Macaca fascicularis: one gene and its partners. The protein of the gene in region 1 interacts with the protein of each later gene in a pairwise test. Links are inferred from orthologs where the notes say so. Each region holds a gene or a part of one and is shown in the gene's direction. Other genes may lie near its edges. The genes, in order: KAT7, NINL, DVL3 and VIM.

Region 1 (5,531 bases):
TGGCAACAAGAGCAAAACTCTGTCTCAAAAAAAAAAAAAAAAAAAAAAGAAAGGCTGGTATGGCTGGGAGTGGTGGCTCACACCTAAAACCCCAGCACTCTGGAAGGCCGAGACAGGCGGATCACCTGAGATTAGTAGTTCAAGACCAGCCTGGGCAACATGGTGAAACTCTGTCTCTACAAAAAATAAGCCGAGTGTGATGGCACACGCCTGTAGTCCCAGCTACTTGGGAGGCTGAGGCAAGAGAATCCCTTGAGCCCAGGAGGCGGAGCTTGCAGTGAGCTGACATTCAACCACTCCAGCCTGGGCTACACAGCAAGACTCTATCTAGGAAGAAAAAAAAAAAAAAAGAAGAAGAGAGAGAGAAAAAAAGAAGGATGGTATGAAATAATTGAGATATGCTCTTAATATAAGAGATTCTTACCACCAGTTGGGGAGCCAGAACATTCAAATGTAACCTCAGGAACATATCAGTAAGTGCAAAATAACAGAGTAATGGTATGAAATTAAATGCTTAAGTGGTGAGGGGCTACAAAGGAAGAAGTAATGTGAGCCATTTTCAAGTAAGTTCTTACGTGCAGTTCAACCTAAGTAGGTTATCAAAGGTATTTATACTAAGCACTAAAAGCTAAGTATTAAATACTAAAAGCTGCCTGTGTCAACACTGGCCCAGGACATCCCCAAGGAGAGTGCTGGCTAAGGGTCTGGAACTTTAACTCTTTTGAGTTCTTTACTTAGCACATCAATCAGATGTTTACCTTCTGCTACTTTGTTCTTTAGCCCCTGGGGAAAATCTCCATCTTAACGGGGGGAAATCTCCATCTAAAGGGGCCTCAGATTGAAATTGGGGTTAGGGATCCTAACTTAATGACTGAGCGTGCCTGGGTTCCACCCAGCCGCAATTGGGCAAGACTTGGTCCTCTCAAGGCCTTTCCTCCAGAGAGGTTAAATCTTCAACGCCTGCTCTCCACTTTCCAGCCTTTTCTTAAGGGTCTTCTTTCAGCCTAGTATCAGTGACCAACCTCTCCTTCCTAGGCCCTCTCATTATTATTCAAATTTCCATTCTTTTGGGGGCTTCAGCTTCAGTAAAAACATTCCCTCTTCTTCCTCCGCCTCAAGCATCTGGATTCCAGAGGTCATTTGAGCTAAATGGGGTTCAATGCTTTTCTGACTCTGGTACTGCATTCCCGGGACACTTTCAAATCACATTTTTCACCCCAGGGCCCCCAGTGGTCTCAAACCCAAACACAGTGCGGGAAGGAAGTGGGCGCTCGCCACAGAGCTAAATTGGGAATTCTTTGAGCTGCAGCTTCTGGAGAATGGTTTTGCCTCCTCCCCGCGACATCAACTAACTTACTTGCTGTTAGCTAAGAGCAAGGACAATGTCTCCTCTACCAGACAGGAAACTTCCTGATGGCGGACGCTACCCTTTAGTTCCTTTTTCAATTCCCCATTCCCACCCCTTCGGCACCAGGATGGTTCTTAAAATACAAAGTTTCTTTCACAAAACATCCCTCTGCAACTTTTGAGTTTATGTAATAAACGGAAACGTCCTTTAAACAATCAGGCAACGAAGGGGTTAAATCTAATCTCAGCAACCTGATGGATTCCGGGGGGTTTCCTTCCTCGACTCTGGAAATTAAAACGACCGGGAAGGGAAATTTTGCCCTAGGTAAAGATGAGAACCGTTTACATCAACTGTCAGGCTTCTGCCCCAAACAAGAATGGCTACCCACGCCCACAAACAGCGCCACTCACGTTAACTAAAAATGGCTGGCCCCGGATTCCACCACTGGAGTCACTTTCTGCCCAACTTCAAAATGGCGCCCACTAGCTTCACCAAAAGGATCTAATCTCCCAGCACCCTCTTTGGCCCGTAACGTCAGGGGACGCGAGACCCAGCCGGAAGTGAAGGAAAAAGCGCTTCAGCCCGCGGCGCCTGCGCAGAACGCTCCAGACGCTGAGAGGCAGGAGGCACTAGGGATCGTCCGCAGGATTGGGACTGCTACAGAGGCCGCCACGGAGCCCGCCGGAGCCACCGTTCCTGCTGCTGCTGCCGCCGCTGCCCGAATCGGAACCGTCGGGCCGCAGCCGCCGGCAATGCCGCGAAGGAAGGTGAGAAACGGGAGAGGAGGGATGGCGGGTTTCTAAGGACAGTCGATTGAGCACCGTGACGCAGTTGGCCACGCCTCACAGTGCTTGGGTCCCAACTTCCCGCTCCCCCGAACCTTGCTCAGCCACCCTCTCTTCTGTCCATATCCAACAGAAAAATGTGGGCCCGACCCTGGCCTCGGCCTATGCTTGCAACTATTCCCGCCCTCTGCTTGCCTGGATCGGAGGCGTTCTTATTAATTGGTCGCTGAAACGTCAGGAAGCATATTGATTGGCTGGTGACGCCGCCTGTTTGGGCTCAACGGTCACCTCCCCGCGTGCGGGGGCGGTGTCTGGCCCCGGCCCTAGCGCTCTCCCACTGGCTGGAGAGAACGATCCCTCCTCTCCTGATTGGTCGGGGTTGGCAGTCTGTCCTGTGGGGGCGCGGCTTAGGCGGACCTCGATTGGGTGGCCCGAATCCCCGCCTTTCCGAGCGGGGACGCTGATAGGTGCAGAGGCGGGGTTTTGGAGGCCTCGTTACTTTCCAGGTGAGGGGCACAACAAAGCAGAAGACTGGGTGGTGGGAAGCCGGCGCCCACTCCCATGGGATCCCACTCAGGCCAGTTGCCTCCAAGCGGTAATCTTTACTTGCTAGTTCGACAGCTCCTAGAAAATGCAGTTGGCAAAAACCGAAACCTTCTAGAATTAGAAGGGACTTAGGAGGTCACCCAGGAATGGCCCCCTACTTCTTACAGTTGAACTAACGGAGGTCCATGGAGTGCCGCAAGCCACTCAGGCAGTGGCAGGTCCAGAATATAGAACAAATCTAACTCAATTGAATAAATGTCTATTGATTACTTTCTGCGCGGTGGTTGCTGACGATTCAGAAATTTATTAGACGTGATCCCTGGCTTAAGGGTATCACAGCCCGATAGGAGAAAACAGACATGAATAACCTTAGGACGATCTAGTAAGTTCTCTGCTTGGAGGTGTATACAAAGTGTTACAGGAAGGAAGTGAAGGAGCAGTTGGTCTGCTCTGGAGTACAATGGGAGGTATACTGGTAAAAGCCACAGGGAAGAGCTGAGTTCCAGGATCAAGCCAGGAAGGAACAAGTCTCACATCAACGCTTTAAATATCTAGATAATTAGACTGTAATGGTGACTTTTAAGATTCCCCCTTCATTTTAGCTGTTTTCTGTGATTCTTGCTTATTTTAGACATTTTCTGTGATTCTTGCTCATTTCCTGGCAGGTTACCCTTGAGATATTTGGAAAACTGGGTGGTATTCTTGCTCATTTCAGTAGAAATCTTTCTCTTCACAGAGGTTTTTCAGGCTGAAAATGTATGCTTTTTAATGTCTCCTAAAATGATCTCAGCTGGTGGGTGGTATGTATGGTTTTTTTTTTTTTTTTTTTTTTTTAAGATGGAGTTTTGCTCTTGTTGCCCAGGTCGGAGTGCAATGGCATGATCTCGGCTCACTGCAACCTCTGTCTTCCGGCTTCAAGCGATTCTCCTGCCTCAGTCTCCCTAGTAGCTGGGATTACAGGCGGATTCCATGACGCCCAGCTAATTTTTGTGTGTTTAGTAGAGACAGCATTTCACCATGTTGGTCAGGCTGGTTTTGAACTCCTGACCTCAGGTGATCCACCCGCCTCGGCCTCCCAAAGTACTGGGATTGAAGGCATGAGCCACCGCGCCCAGCCGGTGGTATGTGTGTTAAGGCTCACTAAATGCAGGAATAATATTGGTGCCTTGAAATAGGGCCCCAGTCTTCTTTCTTTTTTTTTTTTTTTTTTTTTTTTGAGACGGAGTCTCGCTCTGTAGCCCAGGCTGGAGTGCAGTGGCCGGATCTCAGCTCACTGCAAGCTCCGCCTCCCGGGTTCACGCCATTCTCCAGCCTCAGCCTCCCGAGTAGCTGGGACTACAGGCGCTGCCACCTCGCCCGGCTATTTTTTGTATTTCTTAGTAGAGACGGGGTTTCACCGTGTTAGCCAGGATGGTCTCGATCTCCTGACCTCGTGATCCGCCCATCTCGGCCTCCCAAAGTGCTGGGATTACAGGTTTGAGCCACCGCGCCCGGCCTGTCTTCTTTCTTAATTTCCTGAATACCAGGAGTTTCTTGAAAATGTACATTTTTTTAGTAACCTGTTTGGCGGCAAACCTGTCTTAATCTGTCCTGAGGCTACTTACGGTTTTTGTGTGTCTCATTTAGTGTGACTGTTTATATCTTTTGCTGCAGAAGTATTATGTTTTGTTATTGCACCCAATATTTGCAGGATACATGCAAAGTACTCCCCTTCTAAAAATAAAAAAACAATACGAATTCTAAACACAACTGGCCCTCAGGGTTTTGAATAAAGAATTGGGACTTACAGCGTGAATCTTTGTATTTTTAGCAAATATTTTTTCCTTTCTGGTTTTGTAAAGGGTATAGTGTTAGTGCTCAATTGATAAAAGTTATCTTTATGGCTAAGAAAGAACTCCTGAGGAGGTTAATAATTGACAAATAATTGTTCATTGAAAAGATGGTTTTGAAAACAACTGTTTTTGAATACCCATGAGTCTCCATGTGCAAGCTGCCTTTTTGAAAGATAGATGGCTTTCATGTGGAGAAACTTCAAGGATAGATGGCATACGCAGTAACAATTTTCGTCTTTTTCTGCTTAAATTCTTTTGGGATCAGAGTTGTGGTCCATGATATTTTGAGATGGTATATGGTTTTAAAAAAATATGATAGCTTTTCATGGAGACATTTAACAAAAGCTACTCTAAAGTTAAATGAGGTCTAGCACCAACGATTTTTTCACTACAGTGGACCTTTTTTTGTGATACTGATCTCCGAATGATCTTGGTTCATACTTAGTGCTAATACAGTAAGAATTAATTATCTTCATGGCTGGGTGTGGTGTCTCACGTCTGTAATCCCAGCACTTTGGGAGGCCAAGGCGGGTGGATCACCTGAGGTCAGATGTTCAAGACCAGCCTGGCCAACATAGTGAAACCCCATCTCTACTAAAAATATAGAAGTTAGCTGGGCGTGGTGGTGGGTGCCTGTAGTCCCTGCTACTTGGGAGGCCAAGGCAGGAGAATCACTTGAACCCAGGAGGCGGAAGTTACTGTGAGCTGAGATTGTGCCCTTGCCCTCCAGCCTGGGCAACGGGAGCCAATGAAATGGAAGCTCTTCATTTATTTAACAAAAGTCCCTTATTTGTACATTGTTCCATTTAAGTGTTCTAAATAAAGTGAAGTTGCCTGGGTGGGTGGGAGGATGGGAAATGCTTGTGGAATCCTTTCTTAGGTTTGAACTTGGTGTTTTCGGTGTCACAGCTTGTTTTATTTTCAATGTTAATGCAAACCCTCAGACCAAATGCTTCTGTGCTAATATCTGGATCTATGGTATTACAGAGGAATGCAGGCAGTAGTTCAGATGGAACCGAA
Region 2 (4,919 bases), on another chromosome or scaffold:
CAACATGAGGTCCCACAGGTCGTGCTTAGTGTGGGCTGGGGAGATGCCTCCTGAACTGGCTTGCCTTCATTGTCGAACGCCAAGTCAGCTTGGCCATGAGCCACCCATGCTGCATTCTGAGGGTCTGGGGGTGTGTGCGCCTCTGCCTGGGTCAGCGCACTTCTGCCCTTCCAACCTGCCTTGGGTTTCTTTTCACAGCTGAGACTTTCCTGGTGCTGGCATGGACTCTCTGGGCCCCTGCCTCTGTGAGGCCAGGCTCCCACCTCTGTGAATTCAAGGGTGGAACGTCAAAACTCCTTTGTCGTCCCTCTCCAAGTGATGATGAGTGTACTGACTGGGGCTGGCCAGTTGGGCCACGTGGGTGCAAGGCCTCAGAGTCCTGGGTGTCGGGGTCCTTGGTTGCATGTCCCGGCTTTCTCACCTGCACAGCCATGTGACCTTGGAGAGGTCATGTGAAGGGGCTGCACCTCTGACCTGTCCTCTGAGAGCTGAGGATGGTCTCATGAGCTGTTCCTGTGAGGCCCTCTGAGCACAGGCTGGGGAGGATGGAGAGCACATCAGCAGCGCACGGGCGTGAGGCTTTGGACGCTGGGTGCTATGGGAGTCTTCCTGACGTGCAGGTCCCAGAGGAGAGCGGCTGCCACACCACCACGACCTCATCCCTCGTGTCCCTGTGCTCCAGCCTGCGCCTCTTCTCCAGCATTGACGATGGTTCTGGCTTCGCTTTTCCTGATCAGGTCCTGGCCATGTGGACCCAAGAGGGGATTCAGAATGGCAGGGAGATCTTGCAGGTTTGGAACTGGGTGATGCCTGAGCTGGACAGGGAACCTGGGGGGCCCGTCTGCTGCAGAGGAGGATGGATGGAGCACCCCAAGCCAGGGACCCAGCAGGGGTTTGTGCTCTGTGCAGAGAATGCCATGCAAGGAAGTCCAGGTAGAAACCTATATCTTTTAATTTTTGCTACTAAAATATAGGACATTATAATTTAAAAGGATAAGAAATAAAATACAAAGATAGTGTGAAAAAGTCAATTTGAAGGTAGCCTTTAGTGGCTTAGACATTTTCCCTGAATGTTGGGCCAAGGAGGTTAGATGAATGGAAGGAAATTGCCTGTTGTGATGTCGATGTCTGTTGGGCACCACTGTCACTGCAGTTACTGATGAGCTCAGAGTGAGCCCGAACTCTCCTGGAGCCCCTGCCTGGCTGGTTGGGCTGTTCTCCCCCATGGCACCCACTTACCCCAGGCCCTTCCCGCCATGGGCCAGGTGTCAGGAGGCGCACCCTTCCCTCTGTGTTCTGCTGGGGCTGCCTGGGAGGGAAGATGTGGTCCTCGCATGGGACACAGCTCCTCACAGGCTCAGGCTTCCCAGAGGGACGCAGGCCAGCCCTGGAGATTTGGAAGGAGCTCTGCCCTGGGCACAATTTGGTGACACCTGTGCAGGGGCAGAGGTGTGCAGGGGCCCAGCATGGGTGAGGAAAGACAGCCTCACGAGGTACAGTGGACTAGACTTATTATTTTCATTACTTTCCATTGTTAGAAAGGATGTCAACTGAACAAAAACCTATTAAATAAGAAAGAAAGCCTACCTGCCCCTCCCCCATTCCCTGGAGGGGGTGACAGCTGTTGGTGTGGTGGGCGTCCTGCAGAACTTTTCCCTGGCACATGAGAGATGCATATTATTTATACATTCTGACAATATATATATATATTTTTTGCAAAATTGGTGTCATACCGTTTGTCTTGCAAATTTATGCAACCCTTCACTTTTCCTATGAAAAATCTGAGCATTGGCCGGGCGCGGTGGCTCAAGCCTGTAATTCCAGCACTTTGGGAGGCCGAGACGGGCGGATCATGAGGTCAGGAGATCGAGACCATCCTGGCTAAAACGGTGAAACCCCGTCTCTACTAAAAAATACAAAAAACTAGCCGGGTGCAGTGGCGGGCGCCTGTAGTCCCAGCTACTCGGGAGGCTGAGGCAGGAGAATGGCGTGAACCCGGGAGGCGGAGCTTACAGTGAGCTGAGATCCGGCCACTGCACTCCAGCCTGGGCGACAGAGCGAGACTCCATCTCAAAAAAAAAAAAAAAAAAGAAAAGAAAAATCTGAGCATTTATATGCATCGATGTCCTCTTGCTGCTATGCTGGCATTTCTCTGAGGCTGGACTCCTGGAGTTGCACCCTGTAACTCTTGGAGGCTCTGTCATATTCCCTGAGAAAATGTCCTGTTGGCACAGACAGACAATACAGGAAGGAGCCCAGACAGCCCTTGAAACAGTCCACTCAACTCCACGGACCAAGACCCTCATAGGCCCAACCTCATCTGTTACTGAGTCCCCCAAGATGGCAAAGCCAGACCTGTACAGCTGGCCTCACAACTGTCCTGAGAGCCAGAGGCGGAGGCAGGATCACCAAAAATCGCTTGCAGGAAGGGCAGAGAGCACAGGTCTCTCAGTTCCAAGATGCCTGACACCTGACTCCACAGCTCTGGGAGTTCCCTGGCTGCTGTTGTGCCCTGGCTCTGATGAGTACATCTTGCCTCTGCCCTTTCAGAACTTATTCTCTTTCCCATTTGCACTAGAGCTGCTGGTGCTGCTCTGCAAAGACACCCTGGGTGGCTTCTCCCTCACTTCATAATAGATTGCTGCCAAATTCTGCCTTGCAACTCAGTGTCATTTCTGACCTCAGGCTGCTGTGGCGGCTCTGTCCCTCTATGCCATCCAGTGACGTGGCGGGGAGCGTGTGCTTGTGTAGGGACAGCTTTCCAGGCAGCTCCCCAGCCTCTGCCAAGATGCCATTGCTCCTCAGGAGCTGCTGGGAAGTGGGCAGCGTGGAAAGTCAGCCCCTACTTCACGGGAGACTCTGGGCCGGGTTTCTCCTGGCACCTGCTTCAGCCACCCTGCCATGGTGCCTGCCGCTGGCCTGAGCAGGGCGTTTGTAGCCACAAGTGGAAAGCAGAGCCAGGAATACCCGAGGCGGAAAAGGCAGAGGCAGAAAAAGCAAACGCGACAGAACGTTAGCTGCCGCTCCCTTGAGCTGAGGGGCTTAGGGTGTGTGTGGCTCTATTTTTTGTTGTATCAGTAGAATGCCAGCTGTTCTGTGCTTTGAAGTTTGTGAGGTGTATTCTTCACACTTCTGAGGGGAAGAACAGTCCGCTCTGGAAAGCTTTTTGGTTCTAAGCCTGAGGGCTGCTGTGGGGACCCTCTCCATCTCTCTAAACTCTTCCTGGTGGCATGAGCTGCAGGGCAGGCCTCATCGCAGGGAATCCCAAGGCTCACATCCTTAAAACAGATTATTTCAGAGGGAAAAGGGCCTTGTGCTCTGGCCTCACAGCAGTCCCCATGAAGGGCCTGCAGGGGACTTGCCCCTGCCTGTGTCTGACACTTTGTCCAGGAAGAGGAATTCTGTCTAGCCTGGGCCTATGCACCCCTGAGGCAGAGGCAGGAGGACCAGGCCATTGACAGCCCACCAGAGTTGCGAGGGATGGAGGAGGAGCACCCCTCAAGACGCAGAGACCTTGGCAGACAGGAGGGGCGGGTGCTGCCTGGGACAGTCATGCTGGGCTAGGCCCTGGACCAGGGAGGGAGCAGAGAGGTGTCTGCTTGGGGAAGTCCCTCAGCCTCTCCTGCTTACCAGGCTTGCTGCTTCCAGAGCCTGGACTTCAGTGTGGACGAGAAGGTGAACCTTCTGGAGCTGACCTGGGCCCTTGACAACGAGCTCATGACAGTGGACAGTGCCGTCCAGCAGGCAGCCCTGGCCTGCTACCACCAGGAACTGAGCTACCAGCAGTAAGAGGCCGCAGGGGACTGGGGAACGTGGCAGTGTGGCTGGCCAGGTGGGCCTGGAGGGGTGTCTGGGACACACAGGATACCAGTTGGCTCTTGTCCACACCACATGGTCAGTCCTGGGGCAGGGCTCTGCACACCGTCTGTCCCGTGCTCTCTGGTCCCTGAAGCCGGCGCTCGCAGAGGGATAGGAGTAGAATCTAGCCACGGAGCATGGACAGGTGAATGGCAGCCGCTCATTCATGTGTGTGGGCTGGGTGGGGCCTGAGGACCTGGGCTGTCTGAGTCCACACAATTTAAGGCTTGCTGGCTTCCCTCCCACTTGTTGAGGCTTGGGATCTGTATGTTGGGGGCCCCCACTGAGCCCTTTTTATTGAGGTTTCTAAAGGACAGACCTGAGGCCCCGCCTCATCCTGCTGGTGCAGGCGCTCACCAGCGCCAGGTGGGGTCCTGCCGCTGCCTCTAGCGCCAGGGGGCTCCCAGACTGGGCTGTCAACAGGAGGAAGAAAAGGTGCTTTTCAAACGTGGTCACAAAGTACCCCGTGAGGGGCCGAGAACCCATTCCCTTTTAATTGTGTCTGTTTGCTGTGGCTGACCATTCAGGCCATCCGTCTGCTAAGCAGATTTGCAAAAAGATTGTTGTGTTTTTGTCAATGTTCTGAAGCTGCAGAAAAGATTGACAGAAACCACAATCTCAGTCCTAAAGACTGCATCTGTCCACATGCTGACAGCGGAGCCTCTGGCCTCAGGCAGCTCTGCAGATAGAACCAGAGAAAGGCTTGACCAGGTCCCTCCCTTGGCCTTGGGACAGGAAGGGAGAAAAGCTCCTTCGGCGGGGAAATAGTCACTGGAATAGCAGGTGCCACCAGTGATTTACACAGTGCCTCAGCCAGGTCAGGGTGGCCACAGAGCTGAGACCACACACACCCACTGTGTTGTGCTCTGGTGACTCACTGTGTGCTCACTAGGGTGCTGGGATGCCCATGCAGGGCTAACAGGTGGCCAGCCTCCTCCCCGCCATGTGCCCGTTACTGAATTAGGCACTTGTGATCCACACCCAGCTGCCGATGAGAGGGCTCACAGACCAACTACCACACACCCTGGGGCTGCCTAAGCAACGTGGCATGCTGTGGAACT
Region 3 (4,919 bases), on another chromosome or scaffold:
ACCCAGCTACCCACCTCCTTGCCCTACTTCCTGAGCTCAGGATGTGCCTGGCCCCGGTGCAGCCCCTGGCTTACCTCTCTACCTCCACTCCTGCACTGGGCACTGTGTAAACCCAACTGCTTCCATCCCCTGCAGCAGCTCGGCTAAATGGAACTGCAAAGGGGGAGCGGCGGCGAGAACCAGGGGGTTATGATAGCTCATCCACCCTTATGAGCAGCGAGCTGGAGACCACCAGCTTCTTTGACTCAGATGAGGATGATTCCACCAGCAGGTGGGGCTTGAGTTTCATGGGGATTGTGGGGCAGGTGACCCTGGAGGAGCCCTAAACCCTGAGGAGGCAGGGCCCTGGGAGGCTTACGGGCTTTGTGTTGGGGACCCAGGCCCTGCAGTGCCTCTCATGGGGGCAGGGCTGGGCCAGCCTGGTGGGGAACGACTGTGGGCCCCACAGGTTCAGCAGCTCCACAGAACAGAGCAGCGCCTCACGCCTGATGAGAAGACACAAGCGGCGGCGGCGGAAGCAGAAGGTTTCTCGGATTGAGCGGGTATGGGGTCTGGGAGGCTAGGGATGGGTGGAGGTAGATTGTAAGCTCTTCCTAGGCTGGGCCAAGGCTTGTTTTTCCTTAGATCCCATCCCCTTAGTGCACTGTTTAGAACCTTGGGGCAGGGGGCAACACTGAGGACTCACCTTGAGGAGGAGCCAGGTGGGAGTGAATTCCTGCCACCCCTGCCTACTGCTCAGGGCCTCTGTCTATTTCAGTCCTCATCCTTCAGCAGCATCACGGACTCCACTATGTCACTCAACATCATCACGGTCACTCTCAACATGGGTGAGTCTGAGGAAACAGCACTCTAAAGCACTTGCTATGTGCCAGACACTGGGCAGACTTGAGGAGCTCAGAGAGGCACAGAATATGTTCCCTGCCCTCAGGGAGCTCTCTTTCATAAATATCAGCTGATACATAAACTGATCATTTTAGTGTCTCACCATCAGGGCTATGACAGAGATAAGCACAGAGAGCTGTGGAAGCAGAAAATGGCATCAGGGAAGGATTCCTGGAGGAAGTAATTTCTGAGTGCCCACTCCTTCACATCTCTCAGCCATTGCATCCTTTCTCTCTGATTTCTCTCTTTACGAGGCAGCTGGATATAGTAAAAGGAGCCCAACTTTGGGATTTAAATCTGAGTTTGATTCCTGGCTCTGCCAGTTACTGGCTTAGGAAAGTCATCTTCTAGGTTCACTAAACCTCAGTTGCCTGCTGTGTAAAATGGGACTGAGTCCCTACCTTACAGCCAGCAAGGATTCCATGGAAGCATGTTGAGCATGCTGAGTGCAGTGCCTGATTCAGGATCAGTAAATGTCAGTTCAGTTCCTGTCCCTTTCCATTTTCTAATGGGCTGGGAATGCGGGTAGGAACCTTGCTCCCCCTTAAGGTCTTAAATTGCTCTCTATAGAAAAATATAACTTCTTGGGCATCTCCATTGTGGGCCAAAGCAACGAGCGTGGTGACGGCGGCATCTACATTGGCTCTATCATGAAGGGTGGGGCTGTGGCTGCTGATGGACGCATCGAGCCAGGAGATATGCTGTTACAGGTATCAGTGCCCATCCTAGGCGGTGGTGTGGATAGAGAGCCGGGAGGTGTCCTACTATCTGCACCCTGCTCATTCAGAGGCCCTTTCTTGGTTGAGGGAAGACTCCCTGACCTACCAACTTGAGTTCCCCTTTCATCCTCCCCAACACAGCTATTTATCCCACTCCTGGTCCTTTCCCAGGTAAACGAGATCAACTTTGAGAACATGAGTAATGACGATGCAGTCCGGGTACTGCGGGAGATTGTGCACAAACCGGGGTATGGATGGAATGGGGCACTGGGCAAGGGGCTTGGTCTGGCCTGTACACATCCTGCCTTCACAGGACACCCTTGTTTTCAGGCCCATCACCCTGACTGTAGCCAAGTGCTGGGACCCAAGTCCACGTGGTTGCTTCACATTGCCCAGGAGTAAGTGGATGGGAGACTCAGTCCTAAAGCTGGTGCTTACATACATGAGCACTGTCTCTCCTTTCTTCTCTCACCCAGAGCCCCCACATCTATCCTGTTGGGCCCAGCAGTGGGCAGGGTGGGTAGCCCATGACTCCTCATCCTCCCTGCAGGCGAGCCCATCCGGCCCATTGACCCTGCGGCCTGGGTCTCCCACACTGCAGCCATGACCGGCACCTTCCCTGCATACGGCATGAGCCCCTCCCTGAGCACCATCACCTCCACCAGCTCCTCCATCACCAGTTCCATCCCTGACACAGAGCGTGAGTGTCCAACCCTGTGTCCTGGGCCCAGCAGACAGGGCCAGGTGGGAGGACTGATGAGGGTCCATGTGGAGACTCTTGCTTGAGCATCAGAGAGGGCCGGAGATGGGGCTCGGCTCATTCTAGCAACCCCACACTGCAACTCCCCCACAGTGGGCACTCCAACCCTCACTAAACAGTGTTTGCTTCTGAACCTGTATGAGCACCCAGGGCGCCTCAGTTTCCTCTTATAAAATGGGACTCACGAAATAAACTACCAGGTTCCTGTGGGTTTAATGAGAGGATCTAAGTGAAGCACCACTGCGATGTGTGGTGTAAAGTAAGCATTCAGTAAACGGCAGCCATTTCGATTATCATCACATGTATATCGCACACTGTGCCAAGCATCTGCATTTATATTATTTAATCCTTTCTTCAAATAGCCTTGTAAAGTAGATATGAAAATCCCCATTTTTTATAGAAGGGGAAACTGAGAGTTCAAGAAATCAGTAATTTTCCCAGCATTGGTCCCATAATTACTAGGTGGTAGAGCTAGAATGCAAACTCTTGTTTACCAAACTCCAAAGCCCCTTTCTGCCTCACCATTCTGCCTCCCACCCCCAGGCCTAGACGACTTCCACTTGTCCATCCACAGTGACATGGCTGCCATCGTAAAAGCCATGGCCTCCCCTGAATCAGGGTTGGAGGTCCGTGACCGCATGTGGCTCAAGATTACCATCCCTAATGCTTTCATCGGTGAGAGAGCCCCATGGTGGGATGCAGGGTGGGTGGGGAGTGATGGGGCAGGGCAGGCTGGAGGGCCCAGGACTTCCCTTGGACCCTTCCTTTGAGCTGGAGCCAGCCCCAGCCTCATAGCTTCTGTGAGGCCAGATGAGTCCAAGTCAGATGGGCCTCCCCATCAACTGGCAGCCTTGCCCCCAGGCTCAGATGTAGTGGACTGGCTGTACCACAATGTGGAAGGCTTCACGGACCGGAGGGAGGCCCGCAAGTATGCTAGCAACCTGCTGAAAGCTGGCTTCATCCGCCATACCGTCAACAAGATCACCTTCTCCGAGCAGTGCTACTACATCTTCGGCGACCTCTGCGGCAGTATGTGCCTCCCTCACCTTCTTGCCCTGTCTCCTGGCTGTGAGTGGGGAGGTAGCCAGGGAGGTGGCAGCAGACTCTGGGGAACCCAAATTGGGGGACAGCAGAGCCGGGGGCCCAACTCAAGGCCTGAGAGTTCTGTGGTGGAAGAAGAGTCCAATCTAGCCTCTTCACCTGGCCCACATCTCCCTCTTGGGCCTGGCATTTTCTAAGTGCCTGCTCTGCCTGGTACCATGCTGACTGTTCCTAAAGCATCATCTTACTCAATCCTCACAACCTCCCAGAGGCCCAGCTCAGGAGGATACTGCCAGAACAGGCCTTTTCCTTCTCACTGGTCTCTGCTAGGGGTGTTGCAGGCTTAAAGGGAAGAACTGGAGGCCTAGGTAGCCCCAAGGAGCACACAGTCATTCCCTCTAAACAACAGCCTGGAGGCTCACGTCGCCACCAGCTCTGGGCAACAGCTGACACAGACCACTGCTTTCCTCCACCACCACTCCCCATGCTGGCTGCTGGCCTCTTGACAGGTTGATGGCTTGGCTGCAGGCTCCACAGGCAGCCTCAGAGCCCTGTGTCCTGACTTCTCTCCTGGAGGTTGGGCTGGCTCTCCTTAGGGCTGGAGGAATGTCTCATCTTAATAGGGCGGGTGGCCTCAAGGGCAGTCGTAGCTCTCTTGAGGCTCTGGGACCTGGTACCGATAGTGTGTGAGCAGAGGGTGTCCCAGGCAGGTATTCAGTTCTGGTGGCCCCTTATACTCTCTTCAAGGTAGTTCCAACAATGGTGGGAGCAGCCTTGCCCTTAAGGAATGTATAATTTCCCTGGGGGCGCCAGAGTCCGTGAGATGAGTTGTTGGAGTGAGACAGAGCTATGAAGAGCCAGGGCTGGCCGGGAACGGGGTGGAGAGCACTGGGGGAGGCACCTAAGTTGTTCTTTGCTTCTGGCCCCTTCCAACCTACTCCAGCAGCACCAGGAAAGTGTAATCAGGGCCAAGTACCTTCTATATAGGGAATCTCTGGCAGGCCCTGCACTCATTCTAGGCTTTTAGTGGGTATTTAGTTCTAGGTGAGGGGGTGGGTAAAACTTTACCTAAATTTCCCAAACTGCTCCTTGCTCCTAAAGAATGACCTCATCTGAGAAGGTAAGGAGAAACTAAGCTACTCTTAGCTTCTGTTCTGATTAGTTTAGGCTGAGCTGAAGGTAGTGTTCACTATTGTGCTTCATGAACTTCAGGTGCGACATACCTGGTGGCTGTCTGGTATTTCAGCCTTCCAAATTCTCCAACCTTGCACCAGCTGAGTGAACAGAAGAGAAAATGGCCACATAAGAGTTTTGCAGGCCGGGCTCATGCCTGTAATCCCAGCCCTTTGGGAGGCTGAGGTGGGAGATCACCTGAGGTTAGGAGTTGGAGACCAGCCTGGCCAACATGGTGAAACCCTGTCTCTACTAAAAATAATAATAATAAAATTAGCCAGGCGTGGTGGTGTGACCCTGTCAGGAGGCTGAGGCAGGAGAATCGCTTGAACCAGGGGGGAGGA
Region 4 (5,684 bases), on another chromosome or scaffold:
CCTGACAGTGCCACCGCATTGCCCTGGGATCGGCATTGCATGTAGAAGTGAGTTCCACACTCTCTTCCTCCCATACAGAGATCGCCTTTCTCATTCTAAGGGTTCCAGGCAAACTCACAATGGTGACATTTGCTGAGCAGTGGCTTGAATAAAGGGCTCTCAGAAAGCAAGATGTAACTCAGAGCATAGGTTTGTCCTCCAGGGCACCCAGCCCCAGGAATGCTCTTGGGGAATGACCTGCAGCCTCCCAGTGAAAGAGAGAATAAAAGAAAGCCCCAGCAGGCGAGCTGGGCAGTAGAGAGTCCTGTAATTCCACCTTGGCAGCACCATTTGCAAGAACGAACCGGGATAAGGTAAACAAAATATTGCCTAAAAGAGGCTTGTCCGAAGAAGTCAGAAGAAGCTCTTCATTGGCCTCTAAATTATTTTTCTTAAATACCAGGTAACCTGCAGTACCCCTTGCCCCCACCAAAAAGAAAGAAAGAAAGAAAGAAATGCATTTTTTTCCCTCCTATCCACTGCAGAATCGATTTTACAGTGGTTCTGTAGTTAATCCTTTCAGTACACCATAAATCTAAATACTCAAAAAACCTGTGCTTTTTCAATTGCTACTAAATCACAAGAAGACTGATTTACATAGCCGCCTTTTATCTCCCTTGGCTGGTGAGTACTCAGCTCTGCTCGTTACTAATATTGAAACAACAGCCCTTGAATTGAGTGATTTCCCTAGAAAGGTTAAGATGACCGAATCTGAACACTCCCTCCGTGCCTGGGACACGAAGTTTTTTGCTCCGTGGACAGTTTTATCCCCCCTCACCCCAAGGTCAATTGCACGAATTCTTCTGGAAAACAGGACCTGTGACATTTCCCAGACAAATCACCGTGAACCCTGCACTGTGCATTGCTGTCCTAAAATTAACACACAAATCTATTGCCGCCAAACATTCTGTCATTTGTGTTATATAATTGCCTTTCATTTGAACTCATTAATCAAATTGGGGTTTTTAAGCAACACCTAATTAATTATTTCATTGGCTCAAATTATACCTTTAATAACTTCCACCAGGGTGAAAACCACTGATCACTGAGTTCGATTTTGAAACTACGGACGTTGAGTTTCCTCTTTCACCCAGAATTTTCAGATCTTGTTTAAAAAGTTGGGTGTGGTTTCACGCGGGGAGGGGGAAGAGCGAGAGGAGACCGGAGGGACGGGGGCGGGGACTCTGCAAGAAAAACCTTCCCGGTGCAATCGTGATCCAGGAGGCCCACGTATGGCGCCTCTTCAAAGGCTGAAGAAGTTTCTTACTAACAAAAAGTCCACACATCGAGCAAAGTCAGGCTTTAGCGAGTTATAAGAACTTAGAGGCGCTCTTGTCCCCCAAAGGGCCCCACCGCACACATCAAAGCGATGGCCCAGCTCTAAGTTGGTAGGACTGGGAACCAGCAGCACGCGCGGAGCCGCGGAGACTCGAGTCAATCTGGTCTAACGGTTTCCCCTAAACCGCTTAGCAGCCCTCAATCGGCGGGACAGCAGGGCGCGGTGAGTCACCACCGGTGACTCAGCGACCCCACCCCTCTCCCTCGGGCTTTCCTCTGCCACCGCCGCCTGGCAACTCCCGCCGTCCGAAGCTGGACTGAGTCCGTTAGGTCCCTCGATAGAGCCTCCCCTCCCCCCCAACATCTCCCAGCCAAGGCAAGTCGACTGACAGAGGCGCGGGCCGGAGCAGCCCCCCTTTCCAAGCGGGCGGTGAGCGAGGCTGCGCGGGGCCCTGAGCCCTGCGTTCCTGAGCTGTGCGCGCCCCCATCCCGCGTTCCAATCTCAGGCGCTCTTTGTTTCTTTCTCAGCGACTTCAGATCTGCCGGATCCCTTACTCTTCCCTCTTCCCGCTCCTTTGCTCGCGGGTCTCCCCACCTGACCGCAGCCCCGAGGCAGCCGCGCGCTTCCTCCCACGCCCCTCTGGCGCGGTGCCACCGGACTCCTCTGGTTCAGTCCCGGGCGGATCCCCCCTCACCGCGCGACCCCGCCTTTTTCAGCACCCCAGGGTGAGCCCAGCTCAGACTATCATCCGGAAAGCCCCAAAAGTCCCAGCCCAGCGCTGAAGTAACGGGACCATGCCCAGTCCCAGGCCCTGGAGGAGAAAGGCTCGAGGGCGCCCCCACCCCACCCGCCCACCCTCCCCGCTTCTCGCCAGGTCCCTATTGGCTGGCGCGCTCCGCCGCTGGGATGGCAGTGGGAGGGGACCCTCCTTCCTAATGCGGTTATAAAAACAGCGCCTTCGGCGGGGTCCAGTCCTCTGCCACTCTCGCTCCGAGGTCCCCGCGCCAGAGACTCAGCCGCGCTCCCACCACCCACACCCACCGCGCCCTCGTCCGCCTCTTCTCTAGGAGCCAGTCCGCGCCACCGCCGCAGCCCAGCCCATCGCCACCCTCCGCAGCCATGACCACCAGGTCCGTGTCCTCGTCCTCCTACCGCAGGATGTTCGGCGGCCCGGGCACCGCGAGCCGGCCGAGCTCCAGCCGGAGCTACGTGACTACGTCCACCCGCACCTACAGCCTGGGCAGCGCGCTGCGCCCCAGCACCAGCCGCAGCCTCTACGCCTCGTCCCCGGGCGGCGTGTATGCCACGCGCTCCTCTGCCGTGCGCCTGCGGAGCAGCGTGCCCGGGGTGCGGCTCCTCCAGGACTCGGTGGACTTCTCGCTGGCCGACGCCATCAACACCGAGTTCAAGAATACCCGCACCAACGAGAAGGTGGAGCTGCAGGAGCTGAATGACCGCTTCGCCAACTACATCGACAAGGTGCGCTTCCTGGAGCAGCAGAATAAGATCCTGCTGGCCGAGCTCGAGCAGCTCAAGGGCCAGGGCAAGTCGCGCCTGGGGGACCTCTACGAGGAGGAGATGCGGGAGCTGCGCCGGCAGGTGGACCAGCTAACCAACGACAAAGCCCGCGTCGAGGTGGAGCGCGACAACCTGACCGAGGACATCATGCGCCTCCGGGAGAAGTAAGGCTGCGCCCATTGCAAGTCGCTGGGCCTCGGGAGGGGGCTGGAGGGAGAGGGGAACGCCCCCCGCCCCCGCCAGGGCTGCCACGCCCTTGGGGATGAGGCCCGGGGGAGGCCTGCCGGGGGGACTGCGGAGAGCAGCGGCTGTGGCTGTGGCGGCGCAGCCCCGCCCAGAACCCAGACCTTGCAGTTCGCATTTCCCCCTCTGTCCCCACACATTGCCCAAGGACGCTCCGTTTCAAGTTACAGATTTCTTAAAACTACCACTTTGTGTGCAGTTGAAGGCCCTTGGGCACAATGAGAGCGAGTCCTCCAAACTTTTATAAAGTTTCCTGCCCCTTCTGGCGGGCGGCCAATCGCCGGGCGGGCGAAGGAAGGAGGGGAAGGCGGTGGAGGGAGCGAGACAAAGGGATGGTCTCTCGGGGGTGGGTATGGCGGCGCTGTCCTGCAGGTCTGTGCGGCGACCGTGATTGCCCCTCTGCGCGGTGCCCAAGGTCCCACTGAAACCTGCCGAGGGCCACAGGCCTGAAAGCTGCAAGCGCTAGTTGCGCCGAGGTGGCGCAGCGGCTCTGGAGGCGCAGCGCGGCTACGTGGTGGTTGGGTGTGGCCGCCCCGCCCCTGGCGGTTTCCCAGTTCCCCTTTGGTTAATGCGCAACTGTTTCAGATTGCAGGAGGAGATGCTTCAGAGAGAGGAAGCCGAGAACACCCTGCAATCTTTCAGACAGGTTTGTAGGCTCTCTTCCCACTCGCAGCTACCTGACCCCACCCAACACAACCCACGAGCAATTCTAAAAGTTGCTTAACCCACGTCTAAAAAGTGCAAAACTTCAGGGCTGCGCGTAAAGCCCTCTAGTGGCGGGAAGACCACAGATTGGAGCTTCTCATTATTAGAAAAAATATTAATAAAACCGCTTGGACGATTTTTTTGGGGGACGGAGTCTCACTCTGTCGCCCAGGCTGGAGTGCAGTGGCGAGATCTTGGCTCGCAGCAACCTCTGCCTCCCGGGTTCAAGCGATCCTTGAATGATTTCTAAGCCGTTCCTTGGGACATAAAGAAAAATCTTTTAACTTTCTACTTTGTTTTCAAAATGTTGCACAGTTTTGCAACACATTGACCTTCTGGTTTCGAACGGTCACAATTTTAGATTGTGGTTTGCCAAAGTCAAGTCGCTTAATTTTTACAAGGTCACAAAAAGCGCAGTTATGCCCTACAGTTTAAAATGGAAAACGTGTTGGAAGATAAGAAAACTTAGTTTCCAACTGGAATGGAGCCAGCAAGTTTCTTTTCTTCTTTGCAACTTCTATTGTGGCATTAAAGTTCGATGGAAGTATCACTATGCACAACTATTTTGTGATCTAATAAGGGTGAAAAGGAGCCATCTGTCCCCTCGGCTGAGGGGTATTAATGGTTTCTATGGGCTTCACTATGGAATGTAGATACAGACATTCTGGCAAATGTGGTGGCTGTGGACAGAAATAATAGGAGTCTTTGTGTTCCCGGGGAAGCTTTGCAGCAGGCTACATTCTTATTGAATATGTAGTGATGTAAGCACGGTTCTAATTGGACACAAGTATTTGCTAACATCCGTTATCTAATATCTGGCCCAGACTTGAGAAGTATGTAATGTAAAAAGTTTTTAAAGCTACAAACATACCTCACATTTTGAAAGTCCTTTCTTGATTGGATTCTTGTATTCTTTAGCACTCTCGCCATAAAAAATAATAATAATAGTAATAAATCTAAGGCTGAAAAATTCAATTTTAACTAAAGGGTTTTTGTGCGTTTTTTTTTTTCCCACCAAAATTGGATGGACTTATAGAATTTTTGACTTAAAATTGGAATCCAGAAGCCAGAAGATCCCCATTATAGTCTATAGTTTTATTCCCTGGAATATTTACTGGGATTAACTACAAAGCACTCTCAGATGAATAGTGTAGTACAACATTTTGAAACTGAAATACATTTACCAAATTAATTTAACCACAGCAATGTGTGGTTCATTTTAGTCCTTGAGCATTTTTGATTATCATACCTGTAATGTTTTCTGCAGAGTAGTGAGTTAACGTAAAACAACATCAATACAAAAGATCCTCTGTTTCGAGATTAAGCAAAATTCCTCATTCTCTTTAAGCAAAATTCCTCATTCTCTTCAATGTAATAGTAATACCACATTGATCTTTCTTTGGAGATTAGTAAAATATCTTTTATGTATTTCTTAGGGCTTAGCAAGTAAAAATGAATGTTTTCATCAAGTCTGATCTTTTTATCACCCACTCTTCATTCATTTTTCCACTAAGGTGATAGAAAAGTCTCAACAGTTTAAGACCATAAGGCTATAAACTGAACTCCAAATATAATTGCTGACAAGATAAACAATCCTCACGCATCCTTTTGAGAGGAAATAAAATCTTAGTTGCAAGATTACATGTTCTGAATTGGAATGTTGAGCTTTACAAATGGAAACATAGAAGGACAGCTGAATCAGCAAAAATCCTTCATGTAGTTTCATTCTCTGCAAGTTTGACCAGTCATTCTGAAACAGGCCAACTGAACGGATACAGTGGCAAGCGAAAAAGACACGCCTTTGTAGGATGAGTCAAAGGAGTTTTAGAAGAAAAATCCATCAGAGAAAGCAGAGAAAATACAGTTCAGAGTTACATTTCTTTTCCAATTTTTCCTGAAC

What was found.
Region 2: the proteins of KAT7 (region 1) and NINL interact in a two-hybrid assay, tested with the Homo sapiens proteins (2 studies listed by BioGRID and IntAct). The two-hybrid records come from large-scale screens. The link is inferred for Macaca fascicularis from reciprocal best matches to the Homo sapiens genes KAT7 and NINL.
Region 3: the proteins of KAT7 (region 1) and DVL3 interact in a two-hybrid assay, tested with the Homo sapiens proteins (2 studies listed by BioGRID and IntAct). The two-hybrid records come from large-scale screens. The link is inferred for Macaca fascicularis from reciprocal best matches to the Homo sapiens genes KAT7 and DVL3.
Region 4: the proteins of KAT7 (region 1) and VIM interact in binary tests that used the Homo sapiens proteins (3 or more experiments, as listed by UniProt). The link is inferred for Macaca fascicularis from reciprocal best matches to the Homo sapiens genes KAT7 and VIM.

Annotation. Positions count from the first base shown.
Region 1 is NC_088390.1:56,919,785-56,925,315, reverse strand, and holds the start of KAT7 (histone acetyltransferase KAT7), read left to right. Parts: upstream 1-1,943; 5' UTR 1,944-2,100; coding exon 2,101-2,115; intron 2,116-5,498; coding exon 5,499-5,531. UniProt on the Homo sapiens protein: Catalytic subunit of histone acetyltransferase HBO1 complexes, which specifically mediate acetylation of histone H3 at 'Lys-14' (H3K14ac), thereby regulating various processes, such as gene transcription, protein ubiquitination, immune regulation, stem cell pluripotent and self-renewal maintenance and embryonic development.
Region 2 is NC_088384.1:61,899,922-61,904,840, forward strand, and holds part of NINL (ninein-like protein), read left to right. Parts: intron 1-620; coding exon 621-791; exon of another isoform or gene 792-912; coding exon of another isoform or gene 913-933; intron 934-3,633; coding exon 3,634-3,785; intron 3,786-4,919. UniProt on the Homo sapiens protein: Involved in the microtubule organization in interphase cells. Overexpression induces the fragmentation of the Golgi, and causes lysosomes to disperse toward the cell periphery; it also interferes with mitotic spindle assembly.
Region 3 is NC_088376.1:96,084,029-96,088,947, forward strand, and holds part of DVL3 (segment polarity protein dishevelled homolog DVL-3), read left to right. Parts: intron 1-135; coding exon 136-271; intron 272-448; coding exon 449-542; intron 543-757; coding exon 758-827; intron 828-1,452; coding exon 1,453-1,592; intron 1,593-1,772; coding exon 1,773-1,849; intron 1,850-1,931; coding exon 1,932-1,999; intron 2,000-2,151; coding exon 2,152-2,301; intron 2,302-2,904; coding exon 2,905-3,036; intron 3,037-3,222; coding exon 3,223-3,390; intron 3,391-4,919. UniProt on the Homo sapiens protein: Involved in the signal transduction pathway mediated by multiple Wnt genes.
Region 4 is NC_088383.1:18,135,610-18,141,293, forward strand, and holds the start of VIM (vimentin), read left to right. Parts: upstream 1-2,292; 5' UTR 2,293-2,437; coding exon 2,438-3,000; intron 3,001-3,664; coding exon 3,665-3,725; intron 3,726-5,684. UniProt on the Homo sapiens protein: Vimentins are class-III intermediate filaments found in various non-epithelial cells, especially mesenchymal cells. Vimentin is attached to the nucleus, endoplasmic reticulum, and mitochondria, either laterally or terminally.